3 linked regions of the Drosophila melanogaster genome follow. The protein of the gene in region 1 purifies or fractionates together with the protein of each later gene. This does not show direct contact. Each region holds a gene or a part of one and is shown in the gene's direction. Other genes may lie near its edges.

Region 1 (10,937 bases):
TACATTACAAATGAAATAAAACTGTGATGCACGCCAAGTGCAAGACAAAGTCCAAGCGAATTGAACTTGAATATATATACACTGACGACTGAGGCAGTCGAATTAAAATTCCTACATGATTTCCGAGGGTTCGCTGCTGTTTTTGGAGCAGACCAGCGACAAGTGTTCCACGGCAGTCGAAAACGTAGGGGGCAGCTCTATAAATAGGATTTGTCAAAAACCACCGAGTCCAAGTCCGAGTGGATACCACATACATATACATAGCTAGCTAGATCATCATGATGGTGGGGCTGCTAATGAAGATGCTTTCCCCATGGCCATGAGTGGTCCGAGCGGAAGCTGAATGACCATGGGGCAGCACATAGATCCATCTTCCAATTTCTCTGTATATCTATTGTACTTTAATTAAAAGAAGACATCTCACACAAAAATACATACATATGTATGTTCGATCCGCCTTGAGATATATCGCATATTGACGACATACAGCTGATCGCGCCCGTTTGGTCGATGATGAAAGCGTTGGTGCTATTTTGCTTGTTCCTCTTTTCCATCCTCTAGTTTTCTACATTTTTTTTTTTTTTTGTTCAATATATAGGAATATTTTTGTTTTTCCTATGCGTTTGCTGCTTCTATTTCGTGTATATATAAAATAACAACGTTAAAAATAAGTCCGTCCAAACGAAATGAAACCAGTGGCCAGAACCGAAATTATTGAACAACATTTTCTCCCGATTATGATTGTTGTTGTTGCACGAAGTGTGTGCCAGTGTGTGTGCGGGTGTGCCGATTTCCCTGTGTTGGTGTGCTGCAAACCGAACAGAAATCAGTTTCTCACTTCTAGAGCACACCATAAATGTCCGCGTCACTTTTGGTTGTTGTTGCTCTCCTTGCTCACATAGCCAGTCTATATGGGTGAACCCAAGGCAACAGAAACAACAAAGTCAACTGGCAAATATCCTTAAGCAATCCTTATAATTAAGTTCCATACTTCAGTTTCATAAGTACATTACTTATAATTTAATATCATAATACGCTTTATAGACCGACATTTGTACCATGATATCTTCCATTGATAATCGTCTCATTATCAAAACTTTTGGTATACAGCTTGTTTTGGTCCACCCCAATCTACTTTAGACTTTCGAAACTGCGAACATATATGCGGATTGCCGTCGAATCCGCCTTATCTTGGCCACCGCGCTCCGTTCTTGAATATTTCTGTTCGCCCTGGAGGCGTACAGTGCGGCAGACAGAGACTAGGCAGATATATAACAACCGACCTATAGAATCGAGAAACAATACTCGATGGAGCGCATATCCGAAAGTATTTCGGTCTGGCCAGTGGACAGAGATATATGCGGATTTCGCACAGAATATTTGGGTCTGCCATATACGAATTGCCACTTGTCTGACCGCCGATGATGATTGCAGCAGGCAGCACGTGAATGACTAAATTTTAAGTTTATGGGGCTGGGTTGGTATGGTGAAAATGTTTGCGCTGAAATACGATAGGATTTGCCCGATATGTTGCCCATGGAAAATTCCATCTCCAGGCAATCTCCAGCTCCCCATGTGTGTGTGTGTATCCATTGTGGGCACCTAAAAATAAACCTCGCCTGCACTCCGAACCCTAACAAATGGGAAATCTTTGCTTTTCCCCATTAACACAAATTAATGCATTCCAGAAATCACAATCTAAATCGAAATGGTGTGTTTATATGCGTTCGCCTGACCCGATTTCAAACCATTGAAATGAATTGGAGTTGGGTTGGAGGAACAGCCAAGTGGCAGATGAGTTTGCGGCAGCTGGACAGTGGTCAATACTGGAGCTGCTAATGCGCTTAACAAATCACCGGCCATCATCGATTGTGTTGATTAGGCCTATTAAGGGATTGTGGCTAACCCTTTCCCATTCACGATCCGAACCCCTCTCTCTGTGTGTGTTTGTGTGCCCCTGCGAAAATCCAATAAATGCCGAAATGCATGTGGCAAACTAATTTGAAATTAATTCACACAGAAATCAAGGGATATATTCAGCCACTCCCGCAATTGCCCAGCCACTTTGATCAACTCTGTCAATTGCCAAATTGGCAACTTAATAAAAATTCCATCGAAATTCATGAGAATCCCAAGCATTTTTAGTCAGCCAGCCAAAATGAGGGTGGTCCCTGGTCCTCGGGCGACTTTTCCCAGCCGCACAGTCAACCAGCAGTATATCCTTTATCCTTCGTAGCTCCGCAGCCATGTGGCCCCTTGTTACCTTGGCTTTGGGCGAAACCCCCTTTCATCCTCGTCGTCATCGTCTGTGTGCATTCCGCTTGAGCTGTCAAATGCGCATCGCGACTGTATCCCTCCCGAATCCGAATCGGAATCCCAATCCCAGTCCCAGTCCCAAGCCGAGTTCCCAATCCTCATTCTGCGTCGTGGTGGCCACTTTTTGTCACCCATCCTTTGCCGGCTCAATTGCAATTTGTTTTCGTTGATTCCCAGCCTTCGACCTCAGCCCGCTGTTTGTTTAGGATGGGTGTGGGGTTTGTGGATGTCCTGGTGTGGGTGCTACATTTTCGGCATTGGATAATTCACAAATGAATCCCTTTAGTGTCGGCAATTGGCGCACGTGTGCTAAAACAACAAGGTGAAATCGCTGCCAGGATACGTGATCATTATTAAAATTCCTTGGACCAGCCACTACTGGTGACATCCGGCCCTCCTATTTATCCAACGCTCCAGCGACTGCACATCTCGCTTGGCTTTATTAAATTTTGATTTAGCCATTTATATAATCTATTTGCAATTGGCTTTATTTTCGTTACTCCAACGGCCAACGACCAACTTTGGCTTTGCCATTTGACTGCCGATGCCTTGAGGGTCCTTCGGTGGGTTGGTGCGGTGGTTGCTGGGTTAAATTGCCACATAGTGATTTACTTTTCACATACTTTTAATTAACTCTGCATTAACAGTCGAGCTGTTTCACGCGATTAAAATAAAAAAAGGCCCTGGTTATTTTACCTCTGATACGAGTCTCTTTTGATGAGAAACTTTTCGTGCTTACCCTCATTTTTTAAGGCAGTCCAAAAAACAAACAGGGAATTATTTCACAGCCGCTGAGGATAATGTGAAGGTATAAAAGAAATAAATTATGCCGATTGCTAATTTTTATTAAAAAAAAAAACATTTTAAATGATAAGCTCACTCGTGTCCTTTAGATTTTAATTAAAGAAGTTTTTTGAAAAAACGTGGGATTTTAAACATTTTGAAGATTCAAAATGAAAACATGCTGTTAAGTAGAATCATACCTTAAATAATTTATGCTCATCTTATTTAAACCTAATAAATATTTAATACTTAAATGTATTTTCCGGAATAAAAAATAATTAGAAAATTAGAAAAAAAATATTATTGAAAAATATAGAAAATATACAATTGTTGTAGGCATATCACTAAAAACTATTATTTTTATACTTATTATTAAAGTTATTATATTATATTATTATTATTATTATTATACCTATTAAAAAGCAATTATTATAAATTTGCAATAAGTATTATAGTAATCAGTAAGGCGACAATCATAAAATAAAAATATGCCCTACTTGTCTCTCTGGCAACTCTGGAGGAATACCTTGCTTGTTGTCATTTGATCTATATTTAGAACCGTCTAAAATTAGTTCGAAAATAATCCTATTCGAACTAGACCGATTCTTTTGATAGATTAATTTTTGCAATTTAGGTTAAGGGATTAGTCATTCTTCCTCGGGAAGCTGGAACTCAACCTTATTGGTGTTATGTATCCAAAGATACATATATGTACGTGCGAAAATACACGTTTTATAGAATGAATATGCATGGGGCCCCAAATCTAATTTAGCGACATCCATTTGTTTTTCCATGTAGTATAGCAACCGAACCGCGCCACAAATACATACATCTGTATCCAAGTATTTGAATACAGCGAGAATTGGGTAAAATGTGTGGAGGAGGAGAGTGTGGAGGATCCACAGCAACGATTGGCCTCACCGGATTGTGCCATAAAACGTAAACATGCCCCACTTAGTTGCAGCCCAAAAATAGATTGCACCGAACCCAATTTAAATGGGTACCCTGCAAAGCCGGCATGTAACGGTTAAGCTCCCCCCTCCCATCCCCCTTACTAACATCTTACAGCCCGATTTGTAAATAAACAATTAGTTGAATATAATGCTCATTGCACGAGGGGCGTAGACATGGGCGTGGGCGTGGATCTTGGGCGAGAGCGCAATGAGAAATATGACCAAAATTAGAAACGAAAGGCATGAAGGTGCAAAGGCTGGGAAATGATAGAGATGCGATTTGACTAAGGCTGTGCGTTTGTGTGTGTGTACATATCGAAAATAGAAAATGAATTTATTACGACATGAGAAAAACACGAAAGTTATGAAAACAACGAGCCGTACGAGAAAATAGAAGCCAGCAACAAAGCGAATATATCCACCCACCCAATCCCCCACCGTAACGAACCGACCCAAAAAGTATCCAAACCGAACCGAAACATATAGCAAATATAGCAGATATAGCAGATATAGCCGATATGGCCGATATAGTGGGAGAACAGGAGAGAGAGAGAGAGCGACTCGCTGAGAATGAGCAAACGAGTGTGAGTGTGCTGGAGGCGCCTCCTTGCCTTATACGGCACTTTTTGAGACTGCAAACGATCGTGAGCAGGCAGCCGATCGTGCCCGATCCCAACCGATACGATCTCCACGCTCGATCACGCCGAACTATACTGCGCTATATGCTATATGGTATTCCTATACGTATAGCATGCCATACCATATTGTGCCTCTCGCTCGTTCGCCTTATGTTTTCCAAAGAGCCCCCTATGCTGAAGGATCTATTTTTAGGCGGATCGGCCGGTGGGCAGCATTATCGCATCCATGAGCATATTTCCTCGCTGTGTGTATTCGTTTGAGTATTTCTTTTGCCATTGGTATGGGGGCGTGGCGGGGGCGGTGGCGGCGGGGGGCATGGCGACGGCGCTTCTTGGACGAGATGGCATTTCGGCGGCGGTATAAAATCCGAGTACCAACGCGGCGATACTTTAGTCAGTCAGTTGTGTTCCAAGCCGTACACACCGTAACTCTTGATTTAATTCACCCGTGGTGCCGTAAAAAAAACAAAACTAAAACAAAATGTGTGACGATGAAGTTGCTGCTCTGGTCGTTGACAATGGTGCGTATTCCCCATCGAACGGATTATCGTCTTGGCTTTTGCTAAAAGAGAAAAAAAAGAAAGAGAAATAGACAAAGGACCCAACAGCGAAAGGATATTCCCGCATCTAGTGCTAAAGTGATCGCAAAGTGAACGATTTTCGAGTTGTGATTAACTCACGCATCCTTCGGGACACAAGCAATTAGAAATTTGAATATAACAAAAAAAATATTCCAATGCCTTGGATGATTTCGAGAAATATATATTTTAAATATTAGTTATTGAGCAATATTTTCAATTCAAGTCAAAGAATCATAAATATTCAGATAAAGAAAAGCTAAAATATTATATTTTGCACAGAATCAAAACCGATTTGCATAAGTTTTATAAAGATTTTTTGTGCCCGAATCACTTTCATAAGTTTTGATGCTTGAAAGCTTTTCAAGAGATCATGATATTAGAGAAGAGGAATATTTCAGAAATCATATATCTTCAGATATTTCTCTATACGAGAGAAGAAGACAGATCACATATTTTCATGAGAGAATTTTTCTCTCCGCCCCAAACTTTTCCAGTTTTTTCGACTTAGTCGCCAGACTTTTTCACGCTGTCCGTTAGAGCAAATGTTAGACTCCCAGTGTGGGAAACCCCACATGAAGCACTCGAGCGCCCACTAATGGACCCCTGTTCGATTGTGTTATCCTGCAGGCTCCGGCATGTGCAAGGCCGGTTTCGCCGGTGATGACGCTCCCCGTGCCGTCTTCCCCTCCATCGTCGGTCGTCCACGCCACCAGGGTGTGATGGTCGGTATGGGCCAGAAGGACTCGTACGTCGGTGATGAGGCCCAGTCCAAGCGTGGTATCCTCACCCTGAAATACCCCATCGAGCACGGTATCATCACCAACTGGGATGATATGGAGAAGATCTGGCACCACACCTTCTACAACGAGCTGCGTGTTGCCCCCGAGGAGCACCCCGTCCTGCTGACTGAGGCCCCCCTGAACCCCAAGGCTAACCGCGAGAAGATGACCCAGATCATGTTTGAGACCTTCAACTCGCCCGCCATGTACGTCGCCATCCAGGCCGTGCTCTCCCTGTACGCCTCCGGTCGTACCACCGGTATCGTTCTGGACTCCGGTGATGGTGTCTCCCACACCGTCCCCATCTATGAGGGTTATGCTCTGCCCCATGCCATCCTCCGTCTGGATCTGGCTGGTCGCGATTTGACCGACTACCTGATGAAGATCCTGACCGAGCGCGGCTACTCTTTCACCACCACCGCTGAGCGTGAAATTGTCCGTGACATCAAGGAGAAGTTGTGCTATGTTGCCCTGGACTTCGAGCAGGAGATGGCCACCGCCGCCGCCTCCACCTCCCTGGAGAAGTCGTACGAGCTTCCCGACGGACAGGTGATCACCATCGGCAACGAGCGTTTCCGTTGCCCCGAGTCCCTGTTCCAGCCTTCCTTCCTGGGAATGGAATCCTGCGGCATCCACGAGACCGTCTACAACTCCATCATGAAGTGCGATGTGGATATCCGTAAGGACCTGTACGCCAACATCGTCATGTCCGGTGGCACCACCATGTACCCCGGTATTGCCGATCGTATGCAGAAGGAGATCACCTCCCTGGCCCCATCCACCATCAAGATCAAGATCATTGCTCCCCCAGAGCGCAAATACTCCGTCTGGATCGGTGGCTCCATCCTGGCCTCTCTGTCCACCTTCCAGCAGATGTGGATCTCCAAGGAGGAGTACGACGAGTCCGGCCCTGGCATCGTCCACCGCAAGTGCTTCTAAGCAGTTGCAGTTGCCTAGCACCAACACTAGCACCACCCGGTCTACTCACCTGTCTCCTGCTCATCTGGTCCTGCTATTTGTGGTGGTTCTGGGTGTGTGGGCGGCTGGTGCTCCACCGGCAAAAACAACAAACACCACCACCATCCAACCATTTGTTTTTGAATGTCATTATTTACCAACGTGTCATCCTTGGTTCGAGAATACTCTTTTGTACTGACTGAACACAACACCATCAATCAAAATGAATTGTCAATCTAATGCCACGGACCGCGATCCCCATCCACTTGTTAATCGCTCGCGGTTTCCTTAAATGTTGATCGCCATTTGATTGTTTTACGAATGAACCGACACCCTCATGTATTTTGTACAGAACCTAACAACTTCCCCGATAGAGCGGATGGGGTCTATTGACTACGAAATGTAAAATAATCTCATGATTGTAATATTAATTAAAACAATTTATAATTATTTATAAATAAAAACGATTTTTTAGATTTAATTTTTTCTAAAAACATAGAGATTTTGGAAAAAATTGGGGGGGGGCATCTAGCCGGGAAAGCAAATCCTAGCCGAAGCTTTCCATCGATCAGTAGTTCAAGATACATACAATATATATGTACATTTATGGATCTATGTGTGATGTGTGAGCTTTTTTCACCTCCAGACGCGACGGTGCGTTTCAAATTTCCCGAATACCATACCGTAAAGCTTTCTATTCCCAAAATATTTCTGGTTTCGAAACGATTTTCGAATATTTTTAGACGCATTCCAAAATGGGTGAGGCGGCGGACAGGCGAGCGATTTTTTGTTTGTTTATGCCATGAGGAAATACGATCGGAGATGACGCAAGTCGGATGGATGATCAAAGGCGGCGGCCAAAACAAATTGCCAATGTCAATTTGTTGCCGCTCTCGGCAAACTGATTACCAGAAATGCATTTCACTTTGAGGAATAATGGATGGAATATATACATATATAGTGTATGGTGGCAATGCCAGAGACAAATGTTCTCGCCGAGATTGCCAAGACAATTAGTCAAAATGGCGTTGGGCCGTTTAATTAGAACTCGATGTGCATTATGAATGAAATTTGTATTCGCGGTCGTGTCGCCTGTTGCAATTTCAGTTGCAGCCACATACAAATGGGTAATTAATGGGCCCAAATCGCTGGCACTTGGCCAAAAAGGGGCGACAGATGCCGCTAATGAGTTGCACGACGAGATGGGCAAAAATGGGCGCAACTTGCCCGTTCGGAATTCACTTTCTCAAGCGAATCACTTTACGCCGCGCTGCACAACAACAAACAGGATTGGGAATCAGAAATCGGGAAACAGAAATCCCAAATCCGAAATCAGGAAACAAATGCCGGAATGAGAAGTTACCAACCCTCGACTTAAACGGGCTTAACCCACTAATCAATTTGCACAAAAACAAAAATAAACACGTACACAATATCGTCGACGTCGTCGTCATAATGCAATATTCAGTTCTTAATTTCCATACAAATTCGATTTAAAATTCATAATAAAGAGCGCAAATATTTCGAATCGAGTAAGGCACATACATAAGTAAGTACCTCCACGCCCATTTACGATTGCGACTTGAAGTATGCCGCACAAAACGACCCATATGGTCAATTATATATAGCTGCTCCGATTGCCAACCAACAACAATGAGGGCATCCAGTTCTTCAAGGCGCTTCCATTTCCCCCGATTCGGAATCGCACTCGAATCCTTATCCATACTAAGAGTACCATATATGGAGACATCGCACACACCCCAGAGCACACACATTGTTTTCACTTCAATTACTATCGATGAAGCTGCAAAGCGACCAAAAATCCATATACTCGTATAATGCAATCAAAACTTGTGCTCAGCGAAGCGGAAAGTGTTGGAAGCTCTGAGACTCGAAAAGCGTTTCTTGAAAAGCGAGTCCTGATCCCGATTCGCTATGTGCACGGAAAGAAAATAAATATTAAAATATGGAAAAATATTTGGTTACAACAATAATGTATATTATTTACAACTTTGTAATTGTACTTAAAATAAATGCAAAACAATTGGATTTAAACATTTTTTAAACAATTTATATGGTATTCTGCTTACCTAAAAGTATGCAACAGTTATTTGAGAGACTTTCTCCAAGAAATATAGAAATATGAACACAACTCTTAGTTTTATTCCAATTAATTTAGCCCTCAAAGGCCAACGGAAATGATTTAAAATCAAGCAAGTCAATTTCATTTGATTGATTTAAATTTTGGCCAATCCCTCTGCCATTTGCAAAACCCCTTTTCGCCCGCTTGACTGACTGAAAAAATATATAAATCGCGAGGATAATGAAAAGCGTCACATTTGATTGCATTTTTTGTGTGAAATTGGGCTGACAATGTTCGCTTTTGCTGACCAAATAAAAATAAACGATAAAGACGCGGAGCAAAGCCGGCTCACAGCCCACTCACACACAGACACAAAGGGGTGATGGTGATGCATTCACACACACACACACACGCGCACACACACACACATGGGCAAGGACATTTATTGGGGGGTGATTGCCGTTTACGAACAGGCAAAAGGGTGCAGCCCATTGGAACTCGGGAACACGGGAACACCAAGAGCAAGAGCAAAAGCAACAGAAACAGGACCTTTGGCTGAGGAAGCCAGGACCTCGACGAGGCCGTGTAAACGTGTTAGGGCAGAACAAAAAACGCAAAACAAAAAAATGTGCACTTTACGCAATTTATGTGCAAATTTTTCAATGACTTTAAAGCGATGCAGGAGGGCTGATTGAAAATGGGGGATGGACCGGCCAGTGAATATAATCGCTCGCTAATTGACTCTAATAGACCTGGTTCCATCTGGGGTATGCTGGTTATCCTGCTGACCTCCGCCAAAACCCAAGTGCATACGACCGGCGTGCAGGAGGATTACCTTTTCGAAATGAATGGCAACGAAACGAAGTAGTATTATCTCAAGTACTTTGCCCGTTTCAGAAGCGTTGGCTCAGCGAGATCTTTGGCTTAAGAAACACTTTAGCACGCAGCGCGTATTATGTGTGAAAAGTAGCCATTAGAAAATTGCCCACAAATTAGCACAAATAAGGCGAGCATTTAGCAAATTTGAATAAGCTGCCGCATTCGAAAACCCCTCGAATTGCACACACATATTCACGCTGCTTATCCCCTCGACCTTTCACCTTTTCACATGTGCTAAGCCCGCTCACACACACGCACATGCACACACATGCTCACACGTGAGTCCTGGTAATTATGCGCCTGATTTAACTCTACTTTCCACTGCACAAATGACAGTTTCACACTGCCTTATTGTTCGACGTGGCCTTTCTCTCCTAGATATTTCTCTGTTATTTCAAGTGCCGCGCACTTGAATTCTCGGTCATGTCCTTGAAACTGCTCATGCAGAAAGCGGCAAAAAAATAAAACCAAAATCCTCGACAGGACGAAGCTGAAAAAAAAAAAATGGCTCCGCTCATCGAAATATGAGTTCATGAATGTGGACGGCGATTCAAACAAAGGACCTACGCGCCTCCAAGCCACGCCTCATTTTTTTTATATATATATTTATTTTCGTGCCAAATGCTGAGGAAATGGCCGAGGAAATTCGCATTTATTATAATCGCAAGGAAATGCGAAGAGTGCAAAGAAAATTGCTGCCAATTTCCCGCCGCAGAATGCTAGAATCGAAGATGAAATTAATTTTCACGAGCGCGCAAGGAGAGCCGAGTGCTGCTGCTCAAACTTTGCAATTTGCGGCGCGTTTCCGTTTCCGGTGGATTTAGCGTGAAAGAGGCTCCTTCGGCAGACAGGAGACGAGACAGAAGATGCCGGATGGAATACACTGATGACTGAATGACTGGTGGGCTTGTGCTGGAGCTGTAGCCAGAGCTCCAATTGTCATCCATTCCGTTTGATGTGTCGCACAA
Region 2 (10,772 bases), on another chromosome or scaffold:
ATATAATTATCCAATTAAGATTAGTCAAACATTTGTTTTTGCGCCTCTGTTTACTTTCCCGATGCTCGCCGTTTATCTTCAGCCAAAACTCTCGCGTTGATCGAGTTTTATCTGCTCTTTCCGACCAACTACCTTTATGGCTGAAACGATACTGAGCGGGTTTGCCCCACTGCGGATCTGGCCGCTCATATGCTTGCTGAACACACAAGTAGTTCCCCCGAAAAATTGGATAACACGCTCTCCCTCTCCAATTATTTTCGTTTTCGGCGCTCTCTGGGGGATCATTGTTGTGGTTTGTTTTCACCTCGCGAGCAGCCTTTTGTTTACTCAGGAGCGGATTCGTTGGGCCCCCATGCCAAATTTCAAGTTTGAGGACATAAATGACAATGTGCAGCATATGGTATAATTTATGCGGCCAGTCAAAGTAGGAAAACAATTAGTTTCCTAAAGAAATAAAGCTAAGCCAAACGAATATAAATAAAATGTAACTGAAAAACTAATATTCTGTTTTACCTTGGATAATCATTTATATTTTAATTCATTTTATAAAAAGGTTTACAATTGAATCAGTCTTTAAACGTGCATGAATGAAACCAATTATTCTTTTCCACAATACTTCTAGTATCTATAGATATTTAAAATTCAATTCATATTTTTGTGGGAACATATGGCACGTGGCAAGCCTACTAATTTTTGGTACTTAAGGAATTTCATCCAAAGTCTCTTTTAATTACTAACATCGTGTCTTGAATCTCTCATCTGGAAGTACTAAACAAATAATTTAATCACGCACTTACTAATTTGTTTGTTTCAGCGAATATAGCGTCATTTGTATTAAAGTCTCGACTGTAATATAATTACTTCCAAATTGGGCTTAAACCATACTGTGTTTAACAAAAAAAACTTCAACAGGAAACTGTGACGTGATTTGAAAAAAAAATTGACAATAAATTGTGAACAAAATATTGTATAATTGAACACCTATAATTGCAGTGCGAAATTTTCTTAGGGCTTGATTTTTTTTTAATATCAACAAGATTTTACTCTTATATTGTCTGGACTGCAGTTCCTACAATTAGTTGAAAATAGTCTTTAAAACGTAAATACAATTAAATACATTGTCGCCAAAGATGGAATGACGAAAACCACATTAACTTTCACAATCTAATACCAAGATATCCATCATGCTATATTTAAATTAACCTTGATCAATATATCAATATATCAATATATTCAAGGCACGGGAAAACAAATAGCTCGTCACGAAAGGTGTAATTTGTTTTCAGTTTGCTTTTGGATTGGATCCACCTGGTAGAAGAATTCAGTGTACTAAAGGAGAGCTTTACAAATATTGTAATTTGATACATTATGTTTTGGATTAGCATTTGATTTATTCTTCACAGTGAAGCGAATTGTTTGCTTTGTTACAATCATCTAATATTTTCGAATACAATGTTTGCCTTTTTTAAGCTTAGGTATAGGTAAATTTGATTATCAAGGTTAGTTCTTTATACTTAAAGTAATTATGTCTTGTAGTCTAGCCGAAAACTGGATTTTGCTGCTTCTTTTAATCTCCTGACTCCTAAAACTCCGAAGCTTCAAAATTCGGAGCGCGCGTTTTATTGATTAGCTCAGTTCTAATGTTGTGACAAGCAGTCTCAGACAATATTTACCAAATCTTACGAAATGAATTCACGAAATGAATTTCAAGAAATATGAAATAATGTTTATTAGACAGCTTTAGTATTTAATGAATTAATAATTATTTTAATTAAATTGCCTTATCATCAAATTAAATATTTTAATGATAAAATTCATTAGGCGGCGCAACTAGGTACTTACTTTCTAGGGGCGCGATCGTCATGAGCACCTGAAGTGGTCTTCCCCTGGAGATTCACCTTGTAGAGGTATGGACTGACCTCGGTCTCCTCCGCGTACAGATTCTTCGAGAGGGTCAAGACGTCATCCGGCGTTTTGGGCAGCGGCTTGCTGTGGAAGTACTCTAAGAGAAAAAACCGTTGTCCGTTCGCTTACGGAAGAGAGCTTAAAGAGACAACTCACCGTAGAAGTGCCAGCTCAAAATGCCAATGGTGATCAGCAAGCCTACGATCACAAATCTCTTTAGCTTCTGGCATTTGGCGCTGTCGATGTTGCTAGTGCTGTTTGTTTGCTGCTGCACTGCGTCCATTGTGATATAATTATCCAATTAAGATTAGTCAAACATTTGTTTTTGCGCCTCTGTTTACTTTCCCGATGCTCGCCGTTTATCTTCAGCCAAAACTCTCGCGTTGATCGAGTTTTATCTGCTCTTTCCGACCAACTACCTTTATGGCTGAAACGATACTGAGCGGGTTTGCCACACTGCGGATCTGGCCGCTCATATGCTTGCTGAACACACAAGTAGTTCCCCCGAAAAATTGGATAACACGCTCTCCCTCTCCAATTATTTTCGTTTTCGGCGCTCTCTGGGGGATCATTGTTGTGGTTTGTTTTCACCTCGCGAGCAGCCTTTTGTTTACTCAGGAGCGGATTCGTTGGGCCCCCATGCCAAATTTCAAGTTTGAGGACATAAATGACAATGTGCAGCATATGGTATAATTTATGCGGCCAGTCAAAGTAGGAAAACAATTAGTTTCCTAAAGAAATAAAGCTAAGCCAAACGAATATAAATAAAATGTAACTGAAAAACTAATATTCTGTTTTACCTTGGATAATCATTTATATTTTAATTCATTTTATAAAAAGGTTTACAATTGAATCAGTCTTTAAACGTGCATGAATGAAACCAATTATTCTTTTCCACAATACTTCTAGTACCTATAGATATTTAAAATTCAATTCATATTTTTGTGGGAACATATGGCACGTGGCAAGCCTACTAATTTTTGGTACTTAAGGAATTTCATCCAAAGTCTCTTTTAATTACTAACATCGTGTCTTGAATCTCTCATCTGGAAGTACTAAACAAATAATTTAATCACGCACTTACTAATTTGTTTGTTTCAGCGAATATAGCGTCATTTGTATTAAAGTCTCGACTGTAATATAATTACTTCCAAATTGGGCTTAAACCATACTGTGTTTAACAAAAAAAACTTCAACAGGAAACTGTGACGTGATTTGAAAAAAAATTGACAATAAATTGTGAACAAAATATTGTATAATTGAACACCTATAATTGCAGTGCGAAATTTTCTTAGGGCTTGATTTTTTTTTAATATCAACAAGATTTTACTCTTATATTGTCTGGACTGCAGTTCCTACAATTAGTTGAAAATAGTCTTTAAAACGTAAATAAAATTAAATACATTGTCGCCAAAGATGGAATGACGAAAACGACATTAACTTTCACAATCTAATACCAAGATATCCATCATGCTATATTTAAATTAACCTTGATCAATAATTATTCAAGGCACGGGAAAACAAATAGCTCGTCACGAAAGGTGTTATTTGTTTGCAGTTTGCTTTTGGATTGGATCCACCTGGTAGAAGAATTTAGTGTACTAAAGGAGAGCTTTACAAATATTGTAATTTGATACATTATGTTTTGGATTAGCATTTGATTTATTCTTCACAGTGAAGCGAATTGTTTGCTTTGTTACAATCATCTAATATTTTCGAATACAATGTTTGCCTTTTTTAAGCTTAGGTATAGGTAAATTTGATTATCAAGGTTAGTTCTTTATACTTAAAGTAATTATGTCTTGTAGTCTAGCCGAAAACTGGATTTTGCTGCTTCTTTTAATCTCCTGACTCCTAAAACTCCGAAGCTTCAAAATTCGGAGCGCGCGTTTTATTGATTCGCTTCGTTCTAATGTTGTGACAAGCAGTCTCAGACAATATTTACCAAATCTTACGAAATGAAAGACCCATACGTATACTTTCACCCAAGTTGACCTCTCTGGATGATAGTGTACGAAGATTATCAGCTCGGAAACTTTTGTAGCTTCGTTTGCTGCGTTTATTTTGTGTCAGTTGTTGTTGCCGCTCGGAAGTCTTTTATAAAGGCCAGTCGGGCTAGAAATTCTATTCAGTTCAAATATTAACGGCGTCGTGTGCAGTTGCCTGGCATTTGATATAAACTGTGAGTGTGAATTGGAAAATAGTGTTCTATCCCATCCATATTTATGCAAATATTTATAGTAGAGTGATTGCATTCGTAAATCGACGTTGCTTACAATTCCCGTTCATATAGTAGCAAAATAAACAATCCGTGTGCGGTGTGATATTTGAATGCAACGCATTTTGTTGGGTATAAATTGGCAGTGCTTGTTTGTTTGTCCGCCACTTGGTTTATTGAAAATTACTGATGGAGGCTTATTAAGGTAGTGATAGTGAATAAACATTTATAAAAATAGTACAGCGCCACGATAAGGCTAAATCTTTCACTTGTGCATGTGATATATTGATAAGAACAAATAGAAGATTATTGTTGAAGTAAAGAATAAACAAATAAACAAAACAACTGAATGGAGTGTTTGAAAAGATTTGTCATATTGCGAATCTTAAACATCGAAATATTAAGAGTCGACCTAACTAGTTTTAAAAATCTTTGAATTTTTTCATTTCTAATACAAAATGTGCTTTCATTTGTTTTGCTGGATTAATTACATAATTATATTTGAAGATAGCTTAGACATCACGACAACAAATATTTGTTTATAGCTCCTAAAGCTTAGATTACATTGCGCATTTGAAGAAAGCCACTGCCCAACGGTTAAGTAAGCTTTTCCTGTTCTAAGCCCAAGCTTTTAAGAGATAGCTTTGTTTTGGGGCCAGCACTTTGACTACGCTCCTTTAAAACGTCGGAAGGTCCACAGGTGTCACTGGAAAATGTTTGATTTGGGCGTGTTGGTTCGACAGGTGTCGTCCCATTTTGAATTTGTTATGAAATGTGACAGCAAATCGGGGGAGTGTCCATAAGTGGGCTCTACGCCTGATCGGAATATCAATTGTTTTGGGCAAATGACACACCTCAAAGCCCCCGTTGAACTACGCCTCTCTCATCTGGAAGTACTAAACAAATAATTTAATCACGCACTTACTAATTTGTTTGTTTCAGCGAATATAGCGTCATTTGTATTAAAGTCTCGACTGTAATATAATTACTTCCAAATTGGGCTTAAACCATACTGTGTTTAACAAAAAAAACTTCAACAGGAAACTGTGACGTGATTTGAAAAAAAATTGACAATAAATTGTGAACAAAATATTGTATAATTGAACACCTATAATTGCAGTGCGAAATTTTCTTAGGGCTTGATTTTTTTTTAATATCAACAAGATTTTACTCTTATATTGTCTGGACTGCAGTTCCTACAATTAGTTGAAAATAGTCTTTAAAACGTAAATAAAATTAAATACATTGTCGCCAAAGATGGAATGACGAAAACGACATTAACTTTCACAATCTAATACCAAGATATCCATCATGCTATATTTAAATTAACCTTGATCAATAATTATTCAAGGCACGGGAAAACAAATAGCTCGTCACGAAAGGTGTTATTTGTTTGCAGTTTGCTTTTGGATTGGATCCACCTGGTAGAAGAATTTAGTGTACTAAAGGAGAGCTTTACAAATATTGTAATTTGATACATTATGTTTTGGATTAGCATTTGATTTATTCTTCACAGTGAAGCGAATTGTTTGCTTTGTTACAATCATCTAATATTTTCGAATACAATGTTTGCCTTTTTTAAGCTTAGGTATAGGTAAATTTGATTATCAAGGTTAGTTCTTTATACTTAAAGTAATTATGTCTTGTAGTCTAGCCGAAAACTGGATTTTGCTGCTTCTTTTAATCTCCTGACTCCTAAAACTCCGAAGCTTCAAAATTCGGAGCGCGCGTTTTATTGATTCGCTTCGTTCTAATGTTGTGACAAGCAGTCTCAGACAATATTTACCAAATCTTACGAAATGAAAGACCCATACGTATACTTTCACCCAAGTTGACCTCTCTGGATGATAGTGTACGAAGATTATCAGCTCGGAAACTTTTGTAGCTTCGTTTGCTGCGTTTATTTTGTGTCAGTTGTTGTTGCCGCTCGGAAGTCTTTTATAAAGGCCAGTCGGGCTAGAAATTCTATTCAGTTCAAATATTAACGGCGTCGTGTGCAGTTGCCTGGCATTTGATATAAACTGTGAGTGTGAATTGGAAAATAGTGTTCTATCCCATCCATATTTATGCAAATATTTATAGTAGAGTGATTGCATTCGTAAATCGACGTTGCTTACAATTCCCGTTCATATAGTAGCAAAATAAACAATCCGTGTGCGGTGTGATATTTGAATGCAACGCATTTTGTTGGGTATAAATTGGCAGTGCTTGTTTGTTTGTCCGCCACTTGGTTTATTGAAAATTACTGATGGAGGCTTATTAAGGTAGTGATAGTGAATAAACATTTATAAAAATAGTACAGCGCCACGATAAGGCTAAATCTTTCACTTGTGCATGTGATATATTGATAAGAACAAATAGAAGATTATTGTTGAAGTAAAGAATAAACAAATAAACAAAACAACTGAATGGAGTGTTTGAAAAGATTTGTCATATTGCGAATCTTAAACATCGAAATATTAAGAGTCGACCTAACTAGTTTTAAAAATCTTTGAATTTTTTCATTTCTAATACAAAATGTGCTTTCATTTGTTTTGCTGGATTAATTACATAATTATATTTGAAGATAGCTTAGACATCACGACAACAAATATTTGTTTATAGCTCCTAAAGCTTAGATTACATTGCGCATTTGAAGAAAGCCACTGCCCAACGGTTAAGTAAGCTTTTCCTGTTCTAAGCCCAAGCTTTTAAGAGATAGCTTTGTTTTGGGGCCAGCACTTTGACTACGCTCCTTTAAAACGTCGGAAGGTCCACAGGTGTCACTGGAAAATGTTTGATTTGGGCGTGTTGGTTCGACAGGTGTCGTCCCATTTTGAATTTGTTATGAAATGTGACAGCAAATCGGGGGAGTGTCCATAAGTGGGCTCTACGCCTGATCGGAATATCAATTGTTTTGGGCAAATGACACACCTCAAAGCCCCCGTTGAACTACGCCTCTGTCCAAACTCTCACTCTCCTGCATGGGCAGCTTTTGCTCCACAGCGTTTTGGTTTTGGCGGGCTCTCTCTAGCGAATCTTTGCCGGCAGAGAGTGCGAATCTGGTGAGTTCGCTCCCATAAAAGGCCCCACAATTTGCCCGCGCTCAGTTTTCAACCTGAACGCAAAGTGTGCGGTTCTTTGTAGCCCCGAAAGTTCGCACTGAACGGTCCGGTATTTGGTTTTCCACGGCACAAAAACCAATCAAGTGCGCCAATTAAAAAAGTAGTAATCAAAACTGGGAAATCCGGGAAATATATATGTGAAAATAATACGTTGGTAGGAGAAATTTATACCATAGTGAAAGCCTTGCAGAATTATGAAAGAATTCGGTGAATAAGAGCGCACGACTAACGGAACTGTAAATACGCGCTATCTTCCCCATCGACGGCGCTCAACAGGCAGGCAACCAACAGCTGATTAAACGCCCATTCTGTGTGTTTCCTACATTGGATATTTAAATCTCGGATTTTTCGGGTTCGTTGAATTCCTGCATTTCAGAGCCATAAGAAATAAAAGAGCCGCAAAGCAGCGGGCTTGGAATTTATGGATTTCTGTGGTGTCCTTGCAAAACAAGTGTCGCCTCTGGCAGAACCAGATTGTTATTGTTGTTTTTTTGTGATTACCATTTGTTGTTTCTGTTGTTGTGGCAGTCATTATCCTTAATGCCCGTGATGAGGACATGAGTGTGCATCTGTGTGTTTTAAGTGGCTGTGTGTGTTTAAGTCAGGCATTGTGGCTTTAAGAGACAATTTCAGAGGCTCAAAAGAGTTGGGAATTCATTTAATTAAATCAGCGAAAGCATCATATGTAGCAATCATCGTAATTTACATTTGTTTACCCTCTTTTTATTATCCGATTACTAAAGCTTCGTCATTGTTATCAAATACACAGTTCTTATCCATAGTACTTACCCATACATGCGTCTTTAAAATTAAAATTAAATGATTTACTTATTTATAAGACCCATAAAAAATAATTAATTTGAACACGGCTTTGGTTATTAAAACCCAGAAACATTTTATGGAGTCTGATATTTGCCAGAAACCAATTTATCCAAATATTCTTTCTTCAAGCCCCATACTTTGAAAGTCCTTTGAAATTGTTTTAAAATTGTAAAAAAAAACCAGCTCGTGTTTCGAGAGTTCACAACACTTCACATCTGGCACTTGCCAAACGACAGAATGTTGTTTTTGAGTTCTATAAAATAAATTCACATGCCGGGGAAAAAAAGAGACAGGAACAGAATTGCAACCAAATCCATAGCGACACTTGAGTGGCAGCATCACAAAACAAATATTCACGTACACTCGCACAAACACAGTCCTCCTGTAGGAGGCACTTTGCCAACACCTGACCTGCCAGCCAGCCTGCCTGCCTGCCTGCCACGCCTACCCCATCTGTTCCACCTGATCCGCCCTCCACCCACCGCCCAACGCCCCCAGGAGCTGCTGCACACGGCTGACTGTCTAGTAGCTGTCCATCAAGCTTGCCTTAATTTAATTAAGCGCTCAATGTCCTTACTGGCAACACTCTCACACTCGCACTCTCAATGGCAGATAACACAGAGAAAAATTAATTACTTAATTCGATCAAGCTAAGTGTTAAAAGAAGGGCTTAACACCAATCACCGTTAAATCACCAATCAACGTTTGAACTTCCATGAAAACGATTGAAAGAATATGTTTTTGAGAATGAAAACTAATCTTATGGAGGATAAATTTTCTCCGAGTGCTGAACCACAAGGTAACGCTTGATTTGTTGCTGCCTTTTTTCACTCTTGACTGCAGCAGACACTCACACTCACAAGCTCGCGCGACTACACACACATACACTCGCACAGCAGTGGCCAGCACTTATACACTTACAGGCACAGACTTGAACCGCAAAAGCCACAGGCCATTTTGGCATGAAGGATATTATAGAACGTACACAGACGCGCACATCCTGGCATATGTAGTGTGTTGGTGCTGGTGTTGGTGTTGGTTTGCTCCCCAAAGGGGTCTTGTAGACAAGGTTACTGAGAGATGGCAAATTTTTTATAGTGGAATCTGCACTGCCTGCGCCGCCAACCACCCACCACCCACCACCCACCTACCTCCTGCCACATCGCACCCACATTTTCCAGCAAAAAGCAACAATAACATGGCGGCCACCTGCTGCGGCTGCACTTGAGTCGATTTCCCTGTTTTATTTTCCTTTTCTCTTTCCCTTTTCCTATTTCCCCTGTTACCATGTCTATTCCGTTTGTCTGTCTGTCACTTTGTGCATTTTTAATAAAGTTTTGTATTTTGTATTTACTTTTTAGACATAACTTTCCTTTGGCTTGACTGCTGTTTTTGCTGCTTTTCCCTGTGGTAAAAAGTTTTTGTCATTCGGATAAAGTGGAAAAGTCAAGAAAAGAACTCTAAATACTTTATTTATTGTTCATCAAATTCCGTTGTTTACATGAGAATTTTGTAGTGCTTTTCTAATTATTTATTTTTCATGTGCGGTTTGCATGGAAATTTTTTTTCCTCTCACTTAATTCGTTTAGCAATTCGAAAAATATTTAATTTTTTTGTGGAATTCCATTTGATTTGATGTCTCGCCATTTTTATTGTGGTCTGCATATTATATCGCAATTTCTGTGAGCTCTTGCTGTTTACATTTCCGCCTTTCGCCCAGAGAATTCTCCCGCAATCTCCCATTCGCAATAGCTTTCTCATTTTCCTCAGCTCTCCGTGGAACACAGGGGGTATGATAATTTTCGCAGCCGAGAGCCAGCCACAAAGCTCGGTGGATTGGGGGTCAACTCGGTGCTGGTCGAGGGCGGGGGTAGGGTCAGCTAATGAACTCGAGAGCAGGCCAAGCAGACTGGAGATGGGCAACTATTATATAAACAGATATGCGGTTAAGGAAACAAGTTATTAACATAAAAGATAAAGAAATTTCACCATATCATGTGCAACTTTAATAATGGTATGCAGACAAAGGACTAAACTTTAGGGACTTTAAACCAATAGAAAAGATCTTGAAAATACTCAGCTCTACATTAAGTTTTAATCATATTTCATACAGATATCAATTTAAATTTGTACAAATTATAATTAATATCATCAGCTTTTTATTATCACGTTACCATCTCTAAAAACAAGGGTATGTTGAAAATTGTATAGAATGAGGGTTGAGGTGTGGGAAGGTAGGTTTGCTGGGCTTTTTGCTGCGGCTTAACTGACAGACGTTAATTTGAGCTCGGATACAATGATGATAATGATGTTATTTTGCTTCTGTTGTTTGGCGGCGAAGGCATTGACTTTTAGCACGTGCTGTGCGCTTATTTATCTAAGGCACTGTTTGTTGTTTTGATTTTGATTTTGCTTGTGCCGGGCTCGTTGAGTTGCATTGTAAAACTGTCAATTTCAATTAGAGCGCCAAAAAGAGACCGAAGTAAATGGACTTAATTCCATTTTCTCCCTCACTCACTTTCAGCCTAAAAGCCATTAAGAGAGGGCCGAACGCTTATAGAGAGCTATAGAGTGAAAGCTGAGAAGAACCAAAACGGAGCATAAACATGAACAGCGATGAGGTGCAACTGATCAAGAAGACCTGGGAAATCCCCGTGGCAACACCAACAGATTCTGGAGCGGCGATACTGACGCAGTTTTTCAACCGCTTTCCGTCCAACTTG
Region 3 (11,034 bases), on another chromosome or scaffold:
AATAATTTCGGTTTCGGCGTCGTCGGACAGTTCCGGATCGGTGTAGTACTTGTGACGGGTGATCACCCCGCTGTTCTTGGCCTAAAACATGTTAATGCGCTATACGTTTTGCTGCTGTGTTACCCGTTAGCTAATACTCACCTCCGTTTTATCCGCCAAGGGTACAACTTCCGTGGGTATGATCTTCGTGGAGCCGTCTAGGGAGTCCCTTACTGCTACTAGTTGCTTACCCGCTCCAAAGGAGCTTAATGTGGTGGTGGTCATTGTGGTGACCGACGGCGGAGTGGTCATGAATGCTTCTGGCGCTGGTAAGGCTTCCTCTTCCAACTCGCGAGTGATGCTGCGTGATGGTGTAGTTGTGGCGGAGGACGTTGTGGCCACGGGCGTGGGCATGGGAGCCCTTGAAGGCGTTCCAGGTGCACTGGATGGAAGCTTGTCATTCGCAGCGATAGCCTGCTGCAGCTGCTCGAATTTGGGGCCCCTCAGGTAGCGTTCCAAGCGCAGGTTCACCACCTGACCAGACTTCTTAAGCAGCTCTACGGCCTGGTGGTTGGAGTAGCCTTGTAGCGACTGGCCGTCAACTTCAATGATGCGATCGTTGACCCGGATGCGACCACTCAGGTCCGCTGCTGAACCGGGCGACACGCTCTTTACGAAAATGCCAGACAGCTCTTCTTTCTCACACACATAGCCGGCAATTGTGATGCCCAGGCCGTTGGCATCCTTCTTCAGCTCCACCTGAAGCTTCTCCGTTTCAGGAAGGGCAAGCAATTCCTCTAGGTCGATGTTTGGATCAATAAGCATTGATGTCTCGCCGCGATAAACGAAACGATCGTCTTCCGTGGTGGTCTGCGGAGTGGAGGCCGTGGAGCTCTCGCCAAAGATTTCCGGATAGCCGGTAGATATGAGGTACCGCTCCAGCTCGGCAGGATCGACGAGGACGCGCGTGGGCACCACAGCAGTGCCCGGTTCCAGGGCGTACTGGGGCGTAGGCACGCTCTGCTCAACGGGACGGGCAACCACTAGGCGGACGTGGGTTCCAGACTGTCTCAGCACGGCAGCCACCTGTTCGGATACCATTTCGTGCAGGTTGACGTCTCCAATCTGGAGGATGTGGTCGCCCGAGCGCAAGCGTCCGTCCTTATCGGCCACGCCACCCGGCAGGATGGTTTTTACAATCACTCCCGAGTTGCGAGCTCCAATAATACCGAATCCGAGACCCGTGCCGTCGTTGACCAGCTCTATGGCCTGGATCTGAGCGTAGTCCGTGGCGTAGAGATCCGCCACTCCGGCTCCTTTGGAGTTCTGGCTCTGCGGGCGCGGCTCCTCGCCGACGCCTCCGGACTTATCTGGACTGCCCGGAGCCGAATGGGAGTGCGAGGAAGAGCGCTGTTCGTCAAAGTCGTACATCACCTCGCCACCATTCAGACTGAGTACAAGGTTGCCGGCCACATCGATGTCGAAGTCGTTGGGCAACATGGACGGATGCTGAGCCAGCTGGGCGTTCAGCTCGGACAACGAGTCCTGCACGTGGACGATGGTGCGGAAAACGGGATCCTGCAGAATGCCCAGAATGGTGCTAAGGCTCTCGGCCGTCTGCATTTGCAGCTTGGGGTCGTCGGACTCATCGATGCCCTTCTTCACTGCCTCGATCTGCTGAAGGGCGCTGGAAATATCCGCGCTGAGGTGCATCTTGCGTCAGTGGGCGTGGTCAGCGAGCGGTGCGCGGTGCGGTCAGTGGAGCGTGGTCCCCGTCTCTATCCCACTTCCGCTGGCGTTTCTATGGACTTCTGGGTGGGGGCGTTGTGGCGTTGGCACACTTTGTCCTAAACTGCAAAACGGGTAATTCGATTTGGGCTCTAAGTGGGACAGCTTCGGATCAGTTACTGTGCCGTTTGGATGCAGCGAGTTGTTTACCCTCTCCTATGCACTCTTTTCGGTGGCCACTTGCTCTGCTGCTGCTGCTGTAATTGATTTTTAATTATCTCTGAAATGGAATGCCAAATGCATTTTCTTTTCACAAACAGCTGATGGACAGGGTTGCCGAGCGGCTGCGTTGTGCATCGATAAGCAATCGACATAATCGGAACAGTTGCCACCTTTTCAAAATCAATTCAAATTCGACCGTTACATCTGCTAATTTAATTAAATCTAAGATTTTTGAATATAGTCTGCATGTGCTCGTATGTAATATGGCTATACGAAATAACCCAACAACATCTATCCTTTTAAACGCAAATTTTGAATTTAATTTCTCTGTACGCACAAATATCTGTGTTCCAAATACGGAAAAACAATAAGGTGTCTGCCATCAAACCATGTTACGTTCCTCCTCCTCCTCCAATTCTATTTCGAGCTTGCGGAATTCGCGGAAGAATTCGCGAGTGATATGCTTCATATGTGGAGTCAAGTACTTGGGAAAGATATCTGCAGAAGAAACAGAGAAACTATCAGAAACTATTGAAACCTCCAACAGAAAAGGAAAACCCACAATCAAATTCTATAATGAGATCCCCGAACTGCTCCACCTTCTTGTTGGCCTCCTTGATGGCCGTAACTGCATCCAAATTGCGGCACTTGGGGAGTCCCTCGAGGGGAACCACTTTGGTGTATCCCGGCTGCACTACGTCCGTAATGACCACCTTCAACTGGCGCCGGTCCAGCGTGCAAATGAAGAACGTGAAGCCGGTGAAGGCCTGGCACAGGCCAATAGACTGCCTGTAGACCAGGTCGTGTTGGTTTCTCCTCTCAAAGTCCGGATGCGGCTTGTCGGCGGCAATGAAAATAATATCACCCGGAATGGTGGCCGGATAGCGATCGCCCTCCTCCTTGAAGCAGAAGCGAGTTCCGGCCGTAGTTCCCGGGGCAATGTTCAGCTTTAAGGTGTGCTTGCGCTTCTCCAGCCGCGACTCCTTGGCGTCCACGATCTCCTGGCGCCACACGTTCATCAGCTTGACGCAGCCAGTGCGTACTTCCTCCAGCGACAGCTCGATGATCCTCTCCGTACTGGCGTCCTTGGAACGCACGCCAATGCCATGCTGGCGCGTAGCGTACAAGCTCGGTGGATTGGAGATCGCATCGATCACGTTGGCATACGGCGAGTAGCTACCGAAGACCCGCTCGTAGACCTTCATGTGGTCGCCGTCGTACTGATAGGGCGGAAAGTATCCGTTCGGCAGCATGACGCCCTCGAACAAACCCGCCTCGCCAAAGCGATCGTATATGGCCCGGTACAGATCGTTGCCCAGCACATCGAAGGCCATGTTGACGTAGGCCCACTGCCTGGGCTCGCCCATGGGTGAGAGGTGCGTGAGACGACCCTCCTGGGCCAGCGGCACAAAGTCCTGCTCGTCCTTCTTGTCGCGATGTGGGCAAAGCCGAATGGCCAGGCGGCGGTAGGCCAGAGTAATCTGCTCCTTGGTGGCGCCTCTGGGCTGATCCAGCACCGCGTAGTAGTCCAGCTCCGGCCGGTTCATTGTTTCTATTCGGAGTCGAAGCGTATAACAACTGGCAGAAGTGTTCACAGAATGTTTGACGTGTGACTGAGAATTTATTCAAATTATATACAATAACTCAACTGACGCAGGATCTGGCTATGGATGAAATATGCTTGTGGACAAATACATTAAGATTAGAGCTATGGTGTAGATGGAAACGTGGCGGCGATCAGTCAACGTCCTCGGTGCTGACGCCAGTGTAGATGGGCTCCTCCTTGGCTGCACTCTCTGATTTGGCATCGTCGGTCTTCTCCTCGCCACCGGCGACGTCATCCGAGTCATCTTCCTCCTTCTTGTCACCCTCCAAGTCAGCGGCATTGGGCACCCAGAGACCAGAGTCCACACAACGCTTCATGTGCAGCTTGGCGACGTCCACGGGCATGGCCGCAATGGTCTTCTGCAGCAGCTCTACGTCGCGGGACTCGAAACAGGCCTTTAGTTCCTGCGGAGCAAATACATGAAAAGTTAGTCAAGTAATTCCCATACAGTGAATCACTAGAACGTACATCGGGCAGGGATTCAAAGACATCGGCTGGGTCCAGACCACCAGGTCCGAGGCGCTCCTTGCGCTCCTCCTCTTCGGCCTGGGCTATCGCCTCCTGGATCTTCTCCTGCGCACGCTTCTGGATACGTCCTTTGAAACCTTCGATCTCGCTGTCGAACTGCGCGCGGTACTCGGGATGACAGTGCTGGATCTTTGAGAAGAAGGAGCTGACACAGGCGCGAGGATCCACGTCCAGCTGTTTGGCCAACTCTAGAATGTACTGCATGCAAATGCACTGATGCGCCACGTGGGCCATCAGCTCGTGCTTCTCCTCCATTTCCAGGTTGATGGACCAAATGACTAGGTAGTTGGCCGTCTCCTCGCCCACCAAGTGAAGATGCTCCTGCAGAAACCGCTTCGAATCGTCGTACTTGCGCAGCATGCCATACTGCTGGCAGAGCTTCTCGTTCTCCTTGACGAATTGCTTCATGCGCTGCTCTCGCTCTTCCTCGGACAGATTCTCATCCGGCTTGCGGCCGGCCTTCTTGTTGATTACGGTCTTCTCAAAGCCGGGCTTGCTGATGGTGTCCACGTTCCAGGGTGTTTTCTTTTCCTTCTTAATCATCTCGCTCTCGATGCGGTCCAGCTCTTTGCCCTCGGCCTCGATCTTTTCGAGCTCTTTCTGTAGGCGATACAAATTAGGGATTAAGCATTGCGATGAAAGATGGATGGCCACTTAGGATGATAGTCAATCATAAGCTTGACAATAAGAATAAATTAGATGGATTGAGAACATAGGGAACTCCCAGACCAGGCATTAGCCTAAGCAACAAGTGCGCAGTGCATTCGGTGCAATGACCCACCTTCAGGGCCTCCTCGTCGCCATCCTTCTTTGAGATCCGCTCCTTGACGTCCATGAGGCGCGCCTGGTAGCTCTGGCGCTTTTTCTTAAGCTCGTCCTTCTCGTGGTCCATCTCCGCCATGCGCTCCACGCGCGCCTGGTGCCGCCAGCGGAACAGAGAAGGCGTGTCTATGTTTGGGTGAGTGTCGTCCTCATCATCCGAAATCTAAAAGGTAGTGTGCCGATTAGGAGGACTTTTTGGGTTGGCACCCAGCAGTGGGCTCACCTCGATGTTCTTCCACTTGCTGTAGTCCACCATTTTGCTGTTTCTTTGCTTCGGATTTATATTTGAATGTAAATGCTGCAGGTTTTTGTTCTTTTTCGGCTGCTTCCTTTTTTTGGATTGCTCTGGAAATTAGTGTGACCGCAGGGCTATTGCGGAATAATACCATAATAAGCCCCGCTTACTCTGGGGCCGCGCTAGGAAATAGTAGTCATGCATGAGTGCACCAGATTGAATTGAAATACCCTGTCGTTTTTAATTTATTTACATCATCTACTACTACTCATCTACATCTACTAGAAAAATAATGAGATGACTAAGGCGCCAAAGCGACCAGAAAGAGAACTATGTTTATAATCGATTGACATCGATAGAAATCGCGATATTGATGTCAATGTTCTGCGCCAATCGGCCGACATATTGAAAAAAACTGCGGTCCCGTGAAATAGAGGCGCTCCGTGAAAATTACGAATAACTACTGCAAATCAATAGTTAAATTAACAAAGTAACTGTGAACAAATAGATTGCCATCAAAGTGTAAGTTTCTACATAGTTTTCGTCCGTAGCTCACTGTTAGTTGGGTTCAAAATGCAATTGAAATTCGGTGTGCGTGCAAAGTGAAAATTTTTCGGGTCAACGCCACACCCTCGAAGGCAACACAAAAATCCAATTAACGGGGCTAAAGTGAGAGAAAAGTCTTGGCCATAACTGAAAAGCTATGCTGTGCAATGTCACTGCTTGATTAGTAATAGAAATTTTGAATTTCTTTCAAAATTCTTGACTCCAATTGCAACTTAAGAAAAAGTATCTGGTGCTCCTGTTGTGCATGTGTGTGTGCGGTTACGCAGGAGTAGAGAACGCTGTGTGTGTGTACGTCATCGGGTGGTGGTGGTGGTGCGGCAACTTCAGATGAGAGAAAGCGGGAGAGCACACTCTCCCTCTCTTTGCTTGTTTGTGTTTCCAAGATATTTAAGTACGAATAAAAAAAAAGCAAAGTGCTTGCCTTACATATGCCAAAGTTTTGGGTGGGCAAGTGTCCTTGACTTTCTTGAAGGCCTGTGTTTGCATAGGATATTTTTGTTTGCTTGCCAGGCGATTCCGTGTTCGTAGTAGTCTTGCGTACCAGTTGATTTTTTGTGCCTCTTCATTGATTGCTCATAATTCCAAAGCGTACGCATTACGTCATCCTCTGCTATTTTCTGATAGACACTTCAATTAATGTTTCGCTCTCTCCGTCTCTTTCTATTCGCTCTCTTTTTGAGGTGCGATCTCTCGCAATTGCCGTTTCTGATGTTGTTTTTGTTTGCCACCGCGATAAACAGTTAAATTGGCCTGCCTGTGTGTTTGTATGTGAGCTCCAACATTGTATGGCTGCCAAGCCCTGGGCTGTTGCCATCTCCCTCTGATTTATTTCAATTTCCTGTGGCAAAGAGTGTTGTTTGTTTGTTTCTCTGCATGCTGACCCACCCTCTCCCCTAAATGATGTCATTGCTTGCTCTGCTGACCCCTTCTAAAGGGGCGATTTTGAAGTATTAAGTATTAAAATCCGGACATTCCACGGATTTCCTTATCGTTAGTGCTAATTGTATTTCATGTTACTCTATTGACAAAAATTCACTCCTTGGCTTTTCTCTATTAATCATTCTTGGCCAATCTTAACTATTTTACCTTCTGTGTAGTGTAGCTGAGAATTTCAGATATTTCTCTGCTTTTCTTATCTGAGTTGTTTTTTTTTTTTTTTTAGCACTAAAAATTGGAAACTATTAGAAATGTGATTTTATGGGCTATCAACTAAGTTTGGAAATTAAAATAAATGATATCTTATAAGAATTCATAGAAAATATTTATACTTTAACAACAAAAAATTGTTGATGCAATATTTAGATACTTTTAGAAACCTACTATTCTTTTATTGTTAAGGTTAATACCTTTACAAATTTGTTTAGCATACATGTGCGTTTTTCCAAACCTGACCTACAAATATATTCCTCATAATTTCCCGCCTAACTATAACCTTATTACAACTTTTAGTACAGGTGATGAAGTCATCACAACTCGTAGCATTTTACGTGTCGTTTACGTTGATTTAGTTTATTGTGTGAAAACATATTGTTTATACAGAAAAAAAAGAAAATCCTGCAACTTCAACCCATCCAAACAACTCTAAAAATAACTTAGAAAACGAAACCCACAAAAGCCGAGCCAACATTTCCCTTCTCTCCTCTTCCGTTGCAGGGAAACAAAAGGGAGAGAGGGATTGGAGGAGGGCCAAAGGTTGAAAATAGCTCGAGCTAAGGCACAGAAAATAGATCACCGGAACATGACTGCAGAGCTCAAAGCGTCAGATACAGAAATGACGAAGCCGGAAGAGAGGCATCTGCTGCAGCTGCTTGCGCAACTGGAGAAGGTGCCGCACCACCAGCTGGAGCAAAAGTTCGTCGCCTATTTTAAAAAGGTTGGCAAGGGTGATAACCAGAGTAACTGCACACTAGAGGACTTCGCCACCTACTTTTTAGGTGCACTGCGTCAAAGCACAAAGAGGTACTACTATTCGCAAAACTCGGAGACACCCGTGTTTCCCTTGACCCCCATCCATCAGCTCAAGCCGCCGGTCGCCGATGTGGTCAAGGAGGAGGAACAGCAGCAGCTCAATGAGTCCTCGATCCTTAGCCGGAGCAGCTGCAGTATGTCCTCCACTTCGAATACTACTCCGGCTCCCCAGCAGCCGCAGGGCAGAAGATCAACGCCAGGAAGTGGCGCCCAGTTTTGCAGCACGCCTAACAGAAGCGGCGGTGGGGGAGCAGGAGGAGGGCACAGCATCTGCTTGGGCAACTTTCTGGTCAATACACCTATCCAGAGCCATCAGCGATCTAAGAAGAAGATCACGCCCCAAAAACAGCAGCAAAATCAACATGCATCATTGGGTTCAGGAACTGGAGCTGGAGCCACGCCACAATCCAAGCCGCGGCGACGTGTCTTACCCATGACCATTAGCAAGAATGTTTCGGCCAGCTCCTCTTTCGGAGACACCAGTTCCTTTAGCAATGAAAATAACTTTTGGCGAATCTCGCAGAGCAGCGAAATCTTCGATAGAAGCCAAGAAGCAGCCCTGGAAATGGAGGCCCGCAAGTTCCTGTTGCTCAAAAAGCAGGAAATCAAAAGCGAAGCGCCTGTGAATGTTAGTCAACAGGAGAGGACACCCGAAGATGAGGTTTTCCCTGAGGAAGCCATTAGCTTGGAGGGTGTGGCTAATGCCAATCACTTGCAGCTCCTATCAACCATTTACAGCCTGTTAATGGACCTCAATTTGGTGCCCAACGTACTACGTGAACTTAGTTTTGTGGTCCATCTGCTAAATGTGCGAGATTTTGGCCAATCACCCGTCAAATCGTATGTACCCAGTGCTTTGGAGGGACTCACCCAGCACAAAAGTTGTGTATACTTTGCCGCAAAACTGCTGGAGAATCAGAAAAAGTTACTTCTGCAGCTTGACAAACGGACTTTGAGTGTCTTGCTACAAAACGAGAGATTGAGCCTGCTGCCGCAAGGAGTTGTCCAAGAATTGGAAACTCACTGTCAGCGGAGGCAGGATTCGACCACACCCTTCGCTATGGACACCTCTTCGTCCTCCCAGCAGAATGTATACTATCACGTGGAGAACGACTCGCGGGATAACTTTCCTTCGCAGAATGAGTTCGGGGCCTTCAAGTCCCAAAGGGACCTCTTTTACAAAGCCCTTAAGCGTTGGGAGGTGAGCCATCTGAATCGGGGTTTCAACTTTCCCAGCGAACTGGGGCCGCGTATTATGGATATCTATAAGAAATCGGAGCACCCAGTTAACATGACGCACCTGGCAAAATTATTTGTCAACCAATTATTGATCTCCGCTACCGAGACCACCGAATCTCCCGAAGAACTGGGCTTAAAGCTGGATCCCCTCAGGCACAATAAGCTGGCACAGCGCTTGGTGACATCCAGTTCCAGTGTGGAAGGTCAGTTTCCTCGCTCTCAGGCCTTCTTCCGCGACTTTATCGCCGTATGCTCATCGGTAGCATTTCTGGTGCACCTGAAGCTGGAGCTCTTTGTGCAACTAATGCGTAACAACGACTCCACCTTTGATCTGCTCCAGCTAACTGACGATGTGGCTGTCGAGGAGCAGTCCGCTCAGCAGGGACCATACATTGTTCGCGTCCAGACCATGGCTAACATGCTTATCCTGGCCAAGTTCTTGGGCTACGTAACTGTGATGCCCTTTAGCGGCACCACGCAACATGGAAACCCAACGCCGCCATATCTTTGTCCACAGCAGTTGCAGCTTCGTAACCATTTTCGTCCGGACTTCAATCTCCGCGAGATACTCGAACGTTCCATGCGCCAGGGCAAGCTGCTGATTACGCTTCCGTGGTTAGTTCAATACCTGGCGATGCTCGACTTGGTCAGCCTGCACCTTCCGGACGCAGTGGCCACTTTGGAGCTGCTGTACGGATTGTATGCCGACATACGTATGGCAAAATTGCAACCAGCAGCTGTGTTCATAGCCAGGAGCTGCATTGGATGGCTTTTGGATGCACAGCCGCAGTTGGTTAATGGCTACTACAATTACAGGGCACAGGAAGCCGGAGTCGGAAGCATTTCGGCAATTGTGGATATCTGCCTAAAGGACCTCTCGTGTCACGATAAATCGCACGCCCCCTTGTTGGACGAACTTCTGCCCGTGGCTTGCCCTTTCCTGCAGGAATTCCGGGTGAGCATCACGCCCTCTAGGCAAGCGAAAAGTGGGCGGTTCCGGTACATAACCACTCGGTTGGAGCAGTTGCAGCAGAACAGCAGTTCCATTTCCAAGGACGCGATAGTGGCAAGCGAACTGAGTCCCGCGGAGCAGCAGCAGCGCAAATTGGTCGATGCCTATCTCCAATCCCAAAACGCGTCCACCAGGAGGTTGATCGAGTTCGTCACGGAGCGCACTTTTAAGTGTGTCGTTAAGGACGCCCAGCAGGAGATTCTGCTCCCGTCGAAGGCCTCCGCGGATGCCAAAGTCAACGAAATTAAATCCACGATGCTCGAGGAGGTGTTTCAGGAGCTGCATGAGATCTTTCAAGATGCCAGGGAGAATGCGTGTCAGCGTTGGAAGGAGCATGTGCACCAAATGCTGGACAGGCGCATAGAGCACTCCTTGGATGGCCTTCTGCCCTCCAGCACCAATGCGGTATTGCGGTCTACATATGCTCATTTAATCCGGGTGCAAGCCCAGACTCAGCTGCAACAGTGGCTCCAGTCGAGCGTGCTTCAGTCCACATTTTATCATGGCGACCTTCAGGAGTTAGCCACCAAAGTGTGCAACTGCAATAGGAACAAGGCAGATGCAGCAGCTGCAGGTGGCGGCGGCTCCAGTGAGCTCCAGCTCAGTCCGGATATTGGATTCAGCCTGTCGGAGTTTCTCTATCAGCTCCAGCAGTGGTTGCACTGCCTCAGCTTGCGGCCAGAATATGTGGGCAGTCAAGAAGATCTGGCCGAGCTGCTTCGAAAAGCCCAAAAGGCGGTCCTGTTGCCTAAAATGCCCACTGTTTTCTATCACCTCATTGGGTCTGGATTAGTTCATTTGCTTCAGTTGCTCATTACCAGAAAACCGAATTTCCTCGACAAGGATATAATTTCAGCCAGCTGTTCGGTGTGGCGATCACAGCAGCTTATGGACAGTAAAGCTTCACCCGGAATCTTTGACGGCTTGATCAGCATTAGTTTTGTGCAGGAGATGGCAAACAGTGCGGACAGCTTTCGGATGCTGGAGACGATCCTTAGATCCATGCTACAGTCTGGAGCTATACGGGCCGATCATCTCAACGAACTCTTCATGCCGCTCTTTGCCGAGAACTGGTCGCCGAAAGTGTGGTGCATGCTTTCCGAACTTCTGCAGCAACTCTCTCTGTCC

Evidence for each region.
Region 2: the proteins of Act57B (region 1) and glob1 purify together in Drosophila melanogaster (affinity purification with western blotting; one study listed by BioGRID). This does not show direct contact.
Region 3: the proteins of Act57B (region 1) and alpha-Spec purify together in Drosophila melanogaster (affinity purification with western blotting, with the first as the bait; one study listed by BioGRID). This does not show direct contact.

What each region holds. Positions count from the first base shown.
Region 1 is NT_033778.4:20,938,946-20,949,882, forward strand, and holds Act57B (actin 57B), read left to right. Parts: upstream 1-5,075; 5' UTR 5,076-5,171; coding exon 5,172-5,211; intron 5,212-5,898; coding exon 5,899-6,989; 3' UTR 6,990-7,486; downstream 7,487-10,937. UniProt on the Drosophila melanogaster protein: Actins are highly conserved proteins that are involved in various types of cell motility and are ubiquitously expressed in all eukaryotic cells.
Region 2 is NT_033777.3:15,897,817-15,908,588, reverse strand, and holds the start of glob1 (globin 1), read left to right. Parts: upstream 1-3,945; 5' UTR 3,946-4,087; intron 4,088-6,004; exon of another isoform or gene 6,005-6,146; intron 6,147-6,205; exon of another isoform or gene 6,206-6,387; intron 6,388-7,206; exon of another isoform or gene 7,207-7,579; intron 7,580-10,573; 5' UTR 10,574-10,655; coding exon 10,656-10,772.
Region 3 is NT_037436.4:1,789,807-1,800,840, reverse strand, and holds the start of alpha-Spec (alpha spectrin), read left to right. Parts: upstream 1-5,512; 5' UTR 5,513-5,642; intron 5,643-7,340; exon of another isoform or gene 7,341-7,425; coding exon of another isoform or gene 7,426-11,034. Other genes in the region: patj, read right to left, coding at 1-81, 142-1,692; CG12020 (uncharacterized protein), read right to left, coding at 2,312-2,427, 2,492-3,476; Cdc37 (cell division cycle 37), read right to left, coding at 3,667-3,939, 4,004-4,663, 4,845-5,048, 5,109-5,141; dlt (discs lost), read left to right, coding at 7,426-11,034. UniProt on the Drosophila melanogaster protein: Spectrin is the major constituent of the cytoskeletal network underlying the erythrocyte plasma membrane. It associates with band 4.1 and actin to form the cytoskeletal superstructure of the erythrocyte plasma membrane.